3 linked regions of the Lonchura striata genome follow. The protein of the gene in region 1 purifies or fractionates together with the protein of each later gene. This does not show direct contact. Links are inferred from orthologs where the notes say so. Each region holds a gene or a part of one and is shown in the gene's direction. Other genes may lie near its edges. The genes, in order: RNPS1, AMPD2 and RBM25.

Region 1 (3,744 bases):
AACCTAAATGATTCCATGATTCTAAGCTCATCATGACAGTCTACTAATAGTGCCCATTTGACATAATGCAGTTTCTCATCGAACCAATGTGAACTTTTAGTAGACTACAAAATTGCCTGTGAGAGAAATCTGCCCTTAAACAAGATGTTGTGGACAGAAGAACAACTTCCTTTTTGCTTTCTTGGGGTTTTGTTTGTTTTCTTGTTTACTGAACCTGTTCCATGCCAGGTTTTATGTAATACCCCTTGATTTTGCAGCAGAACGGAGAATAAGTCTGTTTTTCTTGTTGCCACACACGAATTTAAAGATACCTGCCCTGGTCTTGCTCATGTCCTGTGATGGAGGTAGACAGGACATATCCTTCCACTGCATTCAAGAGGTGAAGCTTCCATCATTAGGAATTTAACAAACATGCCTCTGGCCATACACATAAGCAGATCGACACACCTCTTAGAAAGATCTGTCACTTTTAAGGCCCTGTATTAGGGATGGGATCAAAATACACTTCTGGCTTTGTTCCTCTCAAGTCAAAAGTCAGGCAGCCAATGTGGTGACGTCAGAGGTTCAGTGTCTGCAGTGGCAAATTCCCTTTTAAGTTCACAGCAAACACATTTGGCAGGGATATCCGTCCCACATGACATGAAATGCCACTGTATGGTGCTCCATCTTAAGTCTTTCATTCTCCTCTTCCCAATTTTCTTGCAGTTGAGAGGGCAAATCCCCGCACAGTAGTGCCATCCCTACACCCGCCACCACCTCAAATCAGAGTCTGTGCGCTGTGTGAGCCTGAGGCAGCGTGGGCCAGAATTCACGTGTGGGGGCTGCAGCCTACTGGGTTGTTAAGCTTTTAAAACCCAGAGCTGAAGCCCAAGCTGCTACTGTCATTACCACGGCTATGCAGGACAGGGTTTGCAAGAACCTTTACGTCAGCGGCGGGGGCAGCAGCAGCCGCCCCGCCACCCCGCTCCTGCTCGCTTGAAGCCCGTCCGCCCGCCCCGCCCCCGCTGTGACGCCATCACCGCGCGCGGCGCCGCTCCTTCCCGCCCGTCGCGTCAATCTCGCGCGACGAGCGCGGAGCGGCGGCGGGGCCGAGGATGTGAGTGCGGGGCGGGGGCTGCACCATCCGCGTCCATCCGGCCGGGCCGTGGCCCGACCGGCCCCTCCGCCGCGCGGGGCACCGGGGGGAGTGCGCTGGGGCTGCCGAGAGGCGATGGTGGCGCGAGGGTCGGGGATGGGGTCTCGGAGCCGTGGCCAGAGGCGGGGAGGGCAGGGGAGGGAGAGCCGGGGCGGGGCCGGCCGTGGAACCGGGCCCGAGTGTCGGCGGTGCCGCGGCCTGGCCTACGGGGAGGAGCGTTGTGCAGGCCCGAGGGACGGGTTGCTGTGCTGATCTCGCGGGCCCTGCCCCACGGGCGCCATACCGCACCCACGGCGGGCGGATCTGGCTGCCCCGCGCTTCGCCGGCCGCACAGCTGGGCCGAACGGCCGTAGTGGACAGAGAAGTGCCGGGCGCCGAACCCTCTTCACACCTGGAATTCTGCCGGTTTGCAGCTGAAGACCTGGAGCAAACTGTCAGTAAAGAACTCGCCTATAGCCTTAAGGGAAGCCTGAGGGCAGCGACTTTACTTCTTTTGCAGAGAACTGCTGCTCTGAGTGTGCAGATTCTGTCTCTAAAGCAGAAGTATGTGTGAGATGGGTTTGTGTAGATTGCAATTTAGACTTTCTGTTGTAGGGTGGATGCCCCTAAACCAGCTATTTTTTAGACAGTGAGAGGTTTTTGATTATAAAGATGAAGCATATAGTTTAGAGATGCAATGTTATTTAGCCTCGTGTGAGGACTGTGATTTATTCTTTCCTCATTTTCCAGTGAATGTCTGAACTTGTGCAGGTGAAAATGCCCTTGTGTAGGGTGAGGTTTCCAACTAAAGTGAGTATGGTCAGGGGCATTCCTGAGAAAGGATTAAAACCACTGGTTAGTTTGGAGACTGCTTTAATGTAGCATCATTTGGTGAATATTCCAAAGCTATGTGGCTGATCTGCCTGCTAAGTGCCTGTTCTAAGGAGCAGTAAGCAGGGAATCCTGAAAGGAGATTGTAGCCAGGTTGGGGTCAGGCTCTTCTCCCAGGCAATGGGCAACAGAACAAGAGGACACAGTCTTAAGATGCACTGGGAGGTTTTGATCAGACATTAGGAAGACTGTCTTCACAGAAAGGGCAGTTGGGCCCCTGGAAGGGGATGCCCAGGGAGGTTGTGGAGTCACCATCCCTGGAGGTGCTTATGGAAAGACTGGATGCAGCACTGAGTGCTCTGGTCTAGTTGACATGGTGGTGTTGGGTCAGAGATTGGACTTAATGGTCTCAGGTCTGTTCCAATGTAATTGATTCTGTGATTCTATTTCCTGCCTCAGCAGCAGGCTGGGTAACAGCAAACATGCTGGTCTTTATCTGTGTTTCCGTTTCCCTTCTCCCAGAAGGGGTAAACCAGATCTGACTCTTGAACACTAGCAGATAGTTTTGTATGCTGATAACATTATGACTTTGATAGTCCACAGGTGCAGGAGGAACTGATGTGTAGGCAGAGATAAACCAAACTTGGCTATGGGGTATTTAGAAGAAGAAAAATGGGCTATGGGTAACCTACTTGCAGCCTTCAGTACCTGAAATGAACCTATAAGAAAGATGGAGTGAGACATTTTACAAGGGCCAGGAGAAGGGGGAATGGCTTCTCACTGACGGAGGGCAGGTTTATGTTAGAGATTAGAAGAAAATTCTTCCCTGTGAGGGTGGTGAGGTCCTGACCCAGGATGCTCAGAGCAGCCCCATCCCTTGAAGTGTTCAAGGCCAGGTTGGAGCAACTTGGTGTAGCAAAGACCATAGTTGGGGGGTTGAAAAGTGATGAGTTTTAAGGTTTATGCCTTCCCAAACCAGTCAGCGATTCTGTGATTTTATGAAAGGAAAAATCTTAGGTTCCTGGTTTCACAAGACCAGAAAACCTGTCTGTTTTGTACCACCCAGCTGGGCTCATGCAGTGGCTTTACAATCTGTATGCCCCTCAGAGCTTGCACTGGAGAGGCACGGAGCTGGATAGAAATATCCTAAAGCTGAGTGATATACACAGGTTTGCTTGTCTTGGATCCCTTTGCGATGCTTGTGGGACAGTCCATAACTGCTTTCTTCCTGCCGCTGGTGCTAGAGGAGGCATTTCCTTTCCCAGCAGCTTCTGCCAGTGGCACATCTGTGGTGTGGGTTTCTTGTCCTCCATGTAGAAAGGCCATGGGTGTTTCTTGGTTTCTGCAGGGAGCTGGGTTTGTGAATAGTCATTTGTGTTGTTTCTTGCAGTTGGTGTATTAGGGAAAACTGTGAAGCTGAAAATCAGGAAAGCAAGTTTGGCTGTTCAGAAGTAATCTCTTCCCAACCATGCATTTAATTGCAATTCAGAGAATAAAGTAATTGCTGATCAGAAGCACAGAAGGAAAAAGATTGTTTGATGCTGTGAGCTGGTGAAGTTTTTTTCTTGTTCACTGAGTTTGCCTGTGATGTACATGGGGATGGAGATGTTTCCAATATCCCACATTACAGTGCATATTTGGTGCTGCTGCAGATAAGGCTGGCAGCTCCAACAAGCTTCTACTCATTCCCGGGATGTTTAATTCTTTGGTAGTTGGGAGTGTCACATTCCTTTAAAGGTTATTAAAATGTTAGAGGCAGATCTGTATCACAGGTTTTAAATGATCCCCATGGAATAATC
Region 2 (3,744 bases), on another chromosome or scaffold:
CCCCTCGACAAGGGGTGGGGGGCACAGAGGGGGGTGGGTGACATTCCCTCCGCTCTAACAGCGGCTAAAAATACCCCCCTGCGCCGGTGGCAGCTTAGGGGACACTCGGGGCGCTCGGAGGGGACACAGCCCGACAGCCACCCAGAGGCACCCGGCACCGGGAGCCCCGGCCCAGGTAGGGACACGCGGGGACCGAGGCGGTGGCAGAGGTGACAGCCCCGCAGCCGGGTCTGCCCCTGGGTGGCCCTCAGTTTGGCTGGGGGGTGAGTTGGGGGGCTGGGGGGCAGGGGCTCCTTGGGGACATTCCCATGGGGACTCAGGGCAGCCCCCAGCAGGGTGTGAGCCGGGGAGTGCTGCAGGAGCGCGAGTCCTTCTTTTGGGGTGCGGTACCATACCTGGGGGGGAAATACCCCATTTTTGGGGGGTATTGGATGATTTCGGAGGTACCCGGTGCCTTTGGGGGTACAATGTTTAACGGGGGGTGACGGTCTGTGTTGGGGGTGCAGCCTCAGCCCTGGGGAGGGGGATGCCCATCCCGGGGGTGACCGTGCCCCTTGGGGGACACAGAGATTCCCACTGGGATAGAGCCAGTCTCTGGATGGGGAAGAACGACACCCTGTCATTTTGGGGAGCAGTGCCTGTTCGGGGGTGGGCAGGGGGATTGGTTACCCTATTTTGGAAGCATCGCTGCCACTTTGGGGGGTCCAACCCCATCTCTCGCGGGGGTGCGATGCCCGCTTTGGGGGGACGTTGGGCTGTCCCCGGGAGGGGCTTGGGGCCGTCCCGGGGGTCCCACCGAGGTACAGAGCTGCCTGCGGCGGCTGTCCCGGCTCTCCGGGCCGGGGGTTACCCGGGGGGGTCCCGGCTGACCCCACACGGGTACAGAGCGCTGCTCCGGGGGTGTCACGTTTGTCCGGGGGGCTTCAGGGCTGTCCGAGAGGGGGGCCACGGCTGGCCCGGGGCTGTCACGGCCCCGCTCCCCCGTAGTTCACAGCCCCATCCCGGGTCTTGCCCCCCCCCTCCACCCTCCAGCGCCGCAGCCACCTCCTTCCTCCTCCTCCTCCTCCTCGCCACATCCTCCGCCCGCCCCATCCTCTTCCTCGTCCCGGTTTCCGGCCGGGCCCCGCCGGGGACTTTGGTCCATTCCCGGGTTCCTGCATCAATCATCAACCAGGGGAGGGAGCGGCCGCTGCGGCCCCGCCGCCGTAAGAGTCCCCCGGGCGCCCCTCGTCACCCCCCGCCCCCATCACCATCATCACCACCATCACCATCATCACCGCCAGCATCAGCCCCTCCGCTCCTCCCCGGCCCCCCTGGAGCCGCCATGTCCTCTGCCCCCCCGGCCAAGTGTCCCTTCAAGAAGCGGGGTAGCCTGCAGACCCCCAGCCCCGCAGGTGAGACCTCCCCCCAAAAACAGCCCGCAGCCCACGGGGACACGCAGGTCACGCCCAGCGCGGGGGGCGCGGTGCGGCGAGCCGGGGGGATCGGTGTGGGCTGCGGGGGATGCTCGGAGGGTTTGTGGCGGGGTGGGAGCCAGCACCGTATCCCGGCACCGGGAGGGTGGCAGCGGGGACCCTGCGTGTCCCCTCCCGCCAGCGCCCCGGTGGCGCAGTGAGAGCGGAGGAAGAGGAGGGGGAGGAAGGAGGGGAGCGCTGGGGGGTGTGGGGGGCGGGCCCGGTTTGGAGGGGCAGGGGGGCGATCCCGCGTGGCGGTGGCACTGCGTGGGCAAGGTGGCGCGTTGTGGTTGGCGCCCGGCTGGCGCTGCTGAGAGAGGGTCTCGGCGTGTCACCCACACGTGGGTGGCACACGTGTTCCAGGTGGATGGCAAACGGTGCTGGTGACACAGGGTGCTTGTGGCAGTGATATCACCGGGGTGAGGTGGCACTTCGGGGTTGTCACCTGGCTGGTATTTCTGGCCGGTCTAGGGATGTCACCGGCGCTGCCCCTGGCTCTGGTGACCCACATTTGTCCTGGGTGGGTGGCACAGGGTGCCTGGATGGTGGCACGAGGCGGGCGAGGTGGCACTTTGGGGTTGTCATCTGTCTGGCACCCGTGTTGGGGACAGTCTCGGAGTGCCACCAGGGCTGCCACCTGTCACATGTGGGCAGCATAGGATGTATCCTACCCTGGGTGACACCATGCCCCAGGTGAGGCACCAGCAGCACATCCTGCTGACACCAGTGCCATCCCTGCCTTGGGTGACACCACCCCAGCCCCCCCACACTTTCCAGTGGGGTGGAGGCTCAAATTCGGGGCTCAGGAGACCTGGATCTTCTGCCCAGGCTGTGCTGGGTGGAGGGGCTCTTACTGGTGGACCCAGTTTAACCAGTAGGACCTGATTTCGGTGCCCCCCCAGGCAGGTGTGTGGTGGGTTTGGGGTCGCAGAGGAGGGTGTTGGCATTGGGGGGGCACTGGGCACCCCCCAGCCCGATGGCCCCGTGCTGATGGGAGCAGGGGGGCGAGGGGCAATGGGAGGTGTTTGGAGGGGGGACGATGTCACCTCCCCTCCCCTGTGATGGAAAGGATGGGATGGGGGCAGGGAGGCAGCACTGGCGGAGGGAGTGGACCCCAGAGTTGTGCCCCCCATGCCATGGGGGTCCTGCAGCCCGGCCCTGAGCCCCTCACTCACTGTTGGCTTCTTGCAGCCCCCAATGGAGCCAGCAGCCCTCCCAGGGGGATTAGAGAGGGGGGGTCCCTCTTGCCCTTGAGCTGCCTCAGTTTCCCCATCATCCCCATTGGGAAGAGCATCCCAGTTCCATGGTGGGGAGGGGGAGCTGTGGAGGGGCTGATTAACCCCTTCCAGCCCAGGTGGGGTTCCAGACCCCCCCAGCTGATGTTGTCCCACTCCCTGCAGAGCTGCGGGGGGGGCCAGGGGCCCGACCCCTGCAGTCAGCCTGGTCCCTGCCTGGGACCCCCCATTCCCTGAAGCATTTCCCAGTGGATCTGCGCACTTCCATGGATGGCAAATACAAGGAGATCGCTGAGGTGGGTCTGGAGCACCAAGTTTGCCAGGTCTGGTGGGGTGGATGTATATTGGGGGAGTGGGGGGGGTTCTCCCTTCCATCCTTCCCACTCCTATCCTCCCCAAACCTTCCTCCCTTCCTACTTCTTCAGCTCTGAGTGTGGAAATCCTCTGAGTGTGAGCCTTTCTCTGCCAGCCCAGGGGTTGAGGCTGCACCCGGCTCATGGCCAAGCTGCTCTGGGCTGAGCCCGTGGCAGGGCTGATGCTGCACCCAGGTCATGGCAGGGCTGCTCTGGGCTCAGCTCACGGCTGGGCTCAGCTCACTGCAGGGCTGCTCTGGGCTGCTCTGGGCTGCTCTGGGCTGCTCTGGGCTCAGCTCACTGCAGGGCTGCTCTGGGCTGCTCTGGGCTGCTCTGGGCTCAGCTCACTGCAGGGCTGCTCTGGGCTGCTCTGGGCTGCTCTGGGCTCAGCTCACTGCAGGGCTGCTCTGGGCTGCTCTGGGCTCAGCTCACTGCACGGCTGCTCTGGGCTGCTCTGGGCTGCTCTGGGCTCAGCTCACTGCAGGGATGCTCTGGGCTGCTCTGGGCTGCTCTGGGCTCAGCTCATAGCAGGGCTGCTCTGGGCTGCTCTGGGCTGCTCTGGGCTCAGCTCACGGCAGGGCTGCTCTGGGCTCAGCTCACTGCACGGCTGCTCTGGGCTGCTCTGGGCTCAGCTCATAGCAGGGCTGCTCTGGGCTGCTCTGGGCTGCTCTGGGCTGCTCTGGGCTCAGCTCACTGCAGGGA
Region 3 (3,744 bases), on another chromosome or scaffold:
TTTGTTATGCCTTTTTCTTTTCCTTGGTTTTCCTAGTATGCTTATAAAATTTTTTAACTATTAACAGTAGTCAGTATTGTAGTTACTAAATTTGTATTATTTTGAGGGAGATATGCCAGCTGTTTGGAATAAGCTGTAATTAATAGAAGGCAAAACTGCTGTTTCTGGTGGGCAAGAAATTGCAGTCAAACTTGAAATATTTCTTAAATCTGCTATTGCTAGAATATCTACCCTTACACATCACGTAAAGCAAGGTGATGAATGGGACCTTAGTTCCAACACAGTTGTTGGCTGTTCAGTAGCACATATGACATCAACCAGATAGTTTTAATCTGCTTTGTACTGAAGAAGTCAGCCTACAGGTGGAGATTTTGTCATTGGACTCTTGTCTTTTGAACACTTTTCTTTAAACAATGGAAAATACAACACATTTTTTTCCCTTACCTAATCCAACATTTTTTAAACAGTTTTATGCACATGGTCATTTTGTGGTCTACCTCATAATAATCTGTAAGATCATGTTCTTCTCATTCATAGTCACTTCCTCTTTCCACTTGCAACTTATTTCCAACAGCGGTATAACTACAGCAATTACTGTCTTGCATGTCATGTTGAAAATTGGCTCTTAATGTAGTCCAAATGCTGAAAGTAGGTCAGAGAAACTACCAGTTGTAGACCATGGCTAGGCCCAACAGCACAGTGACATCTTTCTGACGAGCATGCGGCTGCCTAAAAAGGTAGTGCTCACTCTTTTTGCTGTGTAAATCCTTAAGTCTTTTACAGCACACAGAACCTTCCACGAAAGCCAGCTGTATCCTGGGCTGCATCCCAAACAATGAGGGCAGGTCGAGGGAGGGGATTCCCTGCCTGCGGTACAGCCCGTCCCTGGGCTGGGTGTCTGTCTGAGGGGGCCATGACGGCTGACAGACGGCCAAGCTCCGTGGCCCCGCCGCCGGAGGCTTCCAGGCCCTCGGGCCACCCTGGCCCCGACATGGCGGCGCTCCGGCCGGGTCACGGCCCCGCGCCGCCCCCGCTAAAGATGGCGGCGGCGCGCATGCCCCTTGGCTGCCCGCCTTCCGCCGCCGCTCCACGGCCGGCCGCGGCGCCGCCTGGGGGCGCTCTGGCGCGGCCGGCTCTGTGGTGGCGCGGCGCGGTGCACGCCGGGCCGCTGGCGGAAGAGGCGGGTCACATGACCCCGCGCGGCGCGGCGGCAGCGGCTCGGCGCGGTGCGTTCGCGGCCTAGCGGGGCCTCAGCCGGCCCAGCGCCTCCCCCGCGCCATCCCCGCCCCGCTCCGCTCCGAGGGTGAGACCCGGGGGGCTGCGCGGGCAAGAGGGAGGCAAGGAGGGAGGGCAGGCGGCGGCGGCGCCTCGGCCGCCCGCTGGGCGGAGGCACGGCCGGGACCGGCCGAGGCCGCTGGGCCGCGGCGGGCGCTCGCTGGGGAGGCGGCTCGGGCCTGGACGGGGCGTGGAACGGACGAGCGGCCTCGGGGCGGTGCTCGCGAGACCCGCTCGCGTCGTCTCCCGCTGGGACGCGGAGGGGCCCATTCCGCCGCCCCGGCGAGAGGGACGGGAGCGGCCCCGCGGGAGGCGAGGGGAGCCCGTGGCACGGCCGGGACCCGGAGCTGCGCGGAGCTTTGCTGGCGCCCGGCCGCCTTAGACTGTGGGTGGGATTTTTGCTTTTGCACGTCGGGGAAACCGATCACGCTAGGAAACGTGATATATTGCGACAAGGAAGTTATTGTCTTTAGCGTGGATTGGCGTGGTCTTCTTAAAACACGTGTTGGCAGGTCGTGCGTAAAATAATCGGGAGTGATTCATCCGTGTCGGGAGCCGTTGTGATGTGCACACGGCATGTTTTTCTCATAATGTCTTTTTCCGTTGAAGAAAAAGACCTTTGTCTGCTTGGAGGAGGGGTTTTTTGTTTCAACACAGGGAATATCCTGAACACAACTAACGGTTTTGTTGTTTCTTTTTTTAGGTCTTAAACGGCCTTAGAGAAAGTGAGCTCTCAAAAGTTTTCTATTTCTTAGCCCATTGAGCCTAAAATACACTCACTGAGTATTGGTCCTTTTTTTGTGTGTGGCAGGAAAGCATTGGTTCAGGTATTGCATCAGCATTTATGGGGTGAGTCCAGAGCAAATTATAAGGAAGAATAGCAGAGTTTCTTACTTCCCCTGAGAAGGAGTTTCTGTTTTGGGAAGAGTCAATAGCCAAGTTAGAATGGAAAGTCACTTACTTCACTAACCAGGGTTTTATATAGGTGCAGAGGCATAGAATTAGGAATTAAATCAAATATCTTTTAAGTTCTCATGACATACTTAATGGAGCCCTGCTTAAAGGGCTTTGGGACGGAGGCTTTGGTTGGGGTAAACATGTTGCTTTTTGTGTTGCTTCATAATAACAGGGTGGGATGCAACTATTCCACAGCAGTTACTAAACTCTTTCTAGATGACTTCTGAAAAACAAGCTAGAGCAAGTACTAGTATTTTTGTTTTTAGCTTAGGATACCTATAATATATTTTATCTCTCCCCATGCGTGCGGTGTTTAACATTTAAATCTTGCTTTGCTTGCAGGCCATTTTGGAGAAAACTGTAGGGGTCTGAGAAAATGGTCATTTTCACTGAGGAAACCAGTTGGCTTGGAATAGAAGATTTTTCTTTTAGGGAGCCTTTTTGACAACAAGTAATAATATAAACAGCTTCTTTGTTGGGTGACAAACTAGGAGGTTGCTTTTATAATGGAATGGCTTAAATATCCACCCATTGTGTAGAGACCAAGGCACAAGCCTGTGAGAGTACAGACTTTAACAGAAAAGTTTGTTGTGTATCTTTTCTTCAGCCTGCACAGCCATTTTGTGCAAGTTATTCTAGACTAAAGGCACAGACTTTTTGTGGTGCAGAAGTGTTTTGGGGAAATACTGAAAGGAAGTTAAAATCAGATAAAATTAAATCAAACTATGTCAGCCATACTCTCACTGTTGCTATGTCACCTCATGTATGCATTCCTAAAACACGTGAGTTTTGTGCATTAAGACTTGAGGGGTTTTGCAGTCAGTTTTAACTTTGGTGTAACAGTAGTAAGTATGGTAACTGGTTGCTTCATGGGAACTTTGAAATTGGTTAAGATGTTTTGCAAGTTTCTAAATTAATAAAACTTTTAACACATAAAGTTTCTGATGTATAAACAGAGATACTGATATTAATTCTGTAACAGTGGTAGAATTATGATGCTGCCTTAAGTAGATGATGGGATTATCAATTTAAAATACCTTCACTGCCAGCAATTTTTATTGAGTTTGCATTCTGCTTATGACATATCTCTTCACCTCTGTTTAAAAAAAATGGAGTCAGTAAAACAGAAGGTTAAAAAATACTATGATTTAAAAAGAAATTACTGTGTTAACAGTGCAGCCAGACCAGTACAATCTCAGTCCCCTCTTATTGGGACTTCTAGGAGTCAGAGATGATAAAGAAGAACAAGGCAGCAGTGTCTGGGTGATGGTGATCCTTGTTTCATAGTAGTTTTGAGTTCTGTGTGGACTCAGACACTTTCTTCCAGCCCTAAGGTGAGCTCTCTGCGTTTGCTTAGTTGTAAATCAGCCAGAATGCTCCTAGTGGACAGAGCTCCATCCCAGCAGGCATCTCATCATGACAAGATTTCCCAGTCTCAGTGGATTTTACTTAACCTTAGAACCTATGGCTGTCCCTGTACTCTCTCCAAGTTTCAGAAGATTGGTGCAGATT

What was found.
Region 2: the proteins of RNPS1 (region 1) and AMPD2 purify together in Homo sapiens (co-immunoprecipitation; 3 studies listed by BioGRID and IntAct, with this or other methods). This does not show direct contact. The link is inferred for Lonchura striata from reciprocal best matches to the Homo sapiens genes RNPS1 and AMPD2.
Region 3: the proteins of RNPS1 (region 1) and RBM25 purify together in Homo sapiens (affinity purification with mass spectrometry; 3 studies listed by BioGRID and IntAct, with this or other methods). This does not show direct contact. The link is inferred for Lonchura striata from reciprocal best matches to the Homo sapiens genes RNPS1 and RBM25.

Annotation. Positions count from the first base shown.
Region 1 is NC_134618.1:1,871,581-1,875,324, reverse strand, and holds the start of RNPS1 (RNA-binding protein with serine-rich domain 1), read left to right. Parts: upstream 1-1,047; 5' UTR 1,048-1,094; coding exon 1,095-1,096; intron 1,097-3,744. UniProt on the Homo sapiens protein: Part of pre- and post-splicing multiprotein mRNP complexes. Auxiliary component of the splicing-dependent multiprotein exon junction complex (EJC) deposited at splice junction on mRNAs.
Region 2 is NC_134632.1:1,136,175-1,139,918, forward strand, and holds the start of AMPD2 (AMP deaminase 2), read left to right. Parts: upstream 1-1,295; 5' UTR 1,296-1,324; coding exon 1,325-1,394; intron 1,395-2,854; coding exon 2,855-2,985; intron 2,986-3,744. UniProt on the Homo sapiens protein: AMP deaminase plays a critical role in energy metabolism. Catalyzes the deamination of AMP to IMP and plays an important role in the purine nucleotide cycle.
Region 3 is NC_134608.1:35,556,120-35,559,863, forward strand, and holds the start of RBM25 (RNA-binding protein 25), read left to right. Parts: upstream 1-1,188; 5' UTR 1,189-1,303; intron 1,304-3,744. UniProt on the Homo sapiens protein: RNA-binding protein that acts as a regulator of alternative pre-mRNA splicing. Involved in apoptotic cell death through the regulation of the apoptotic factor BCL2L1 isoform expression.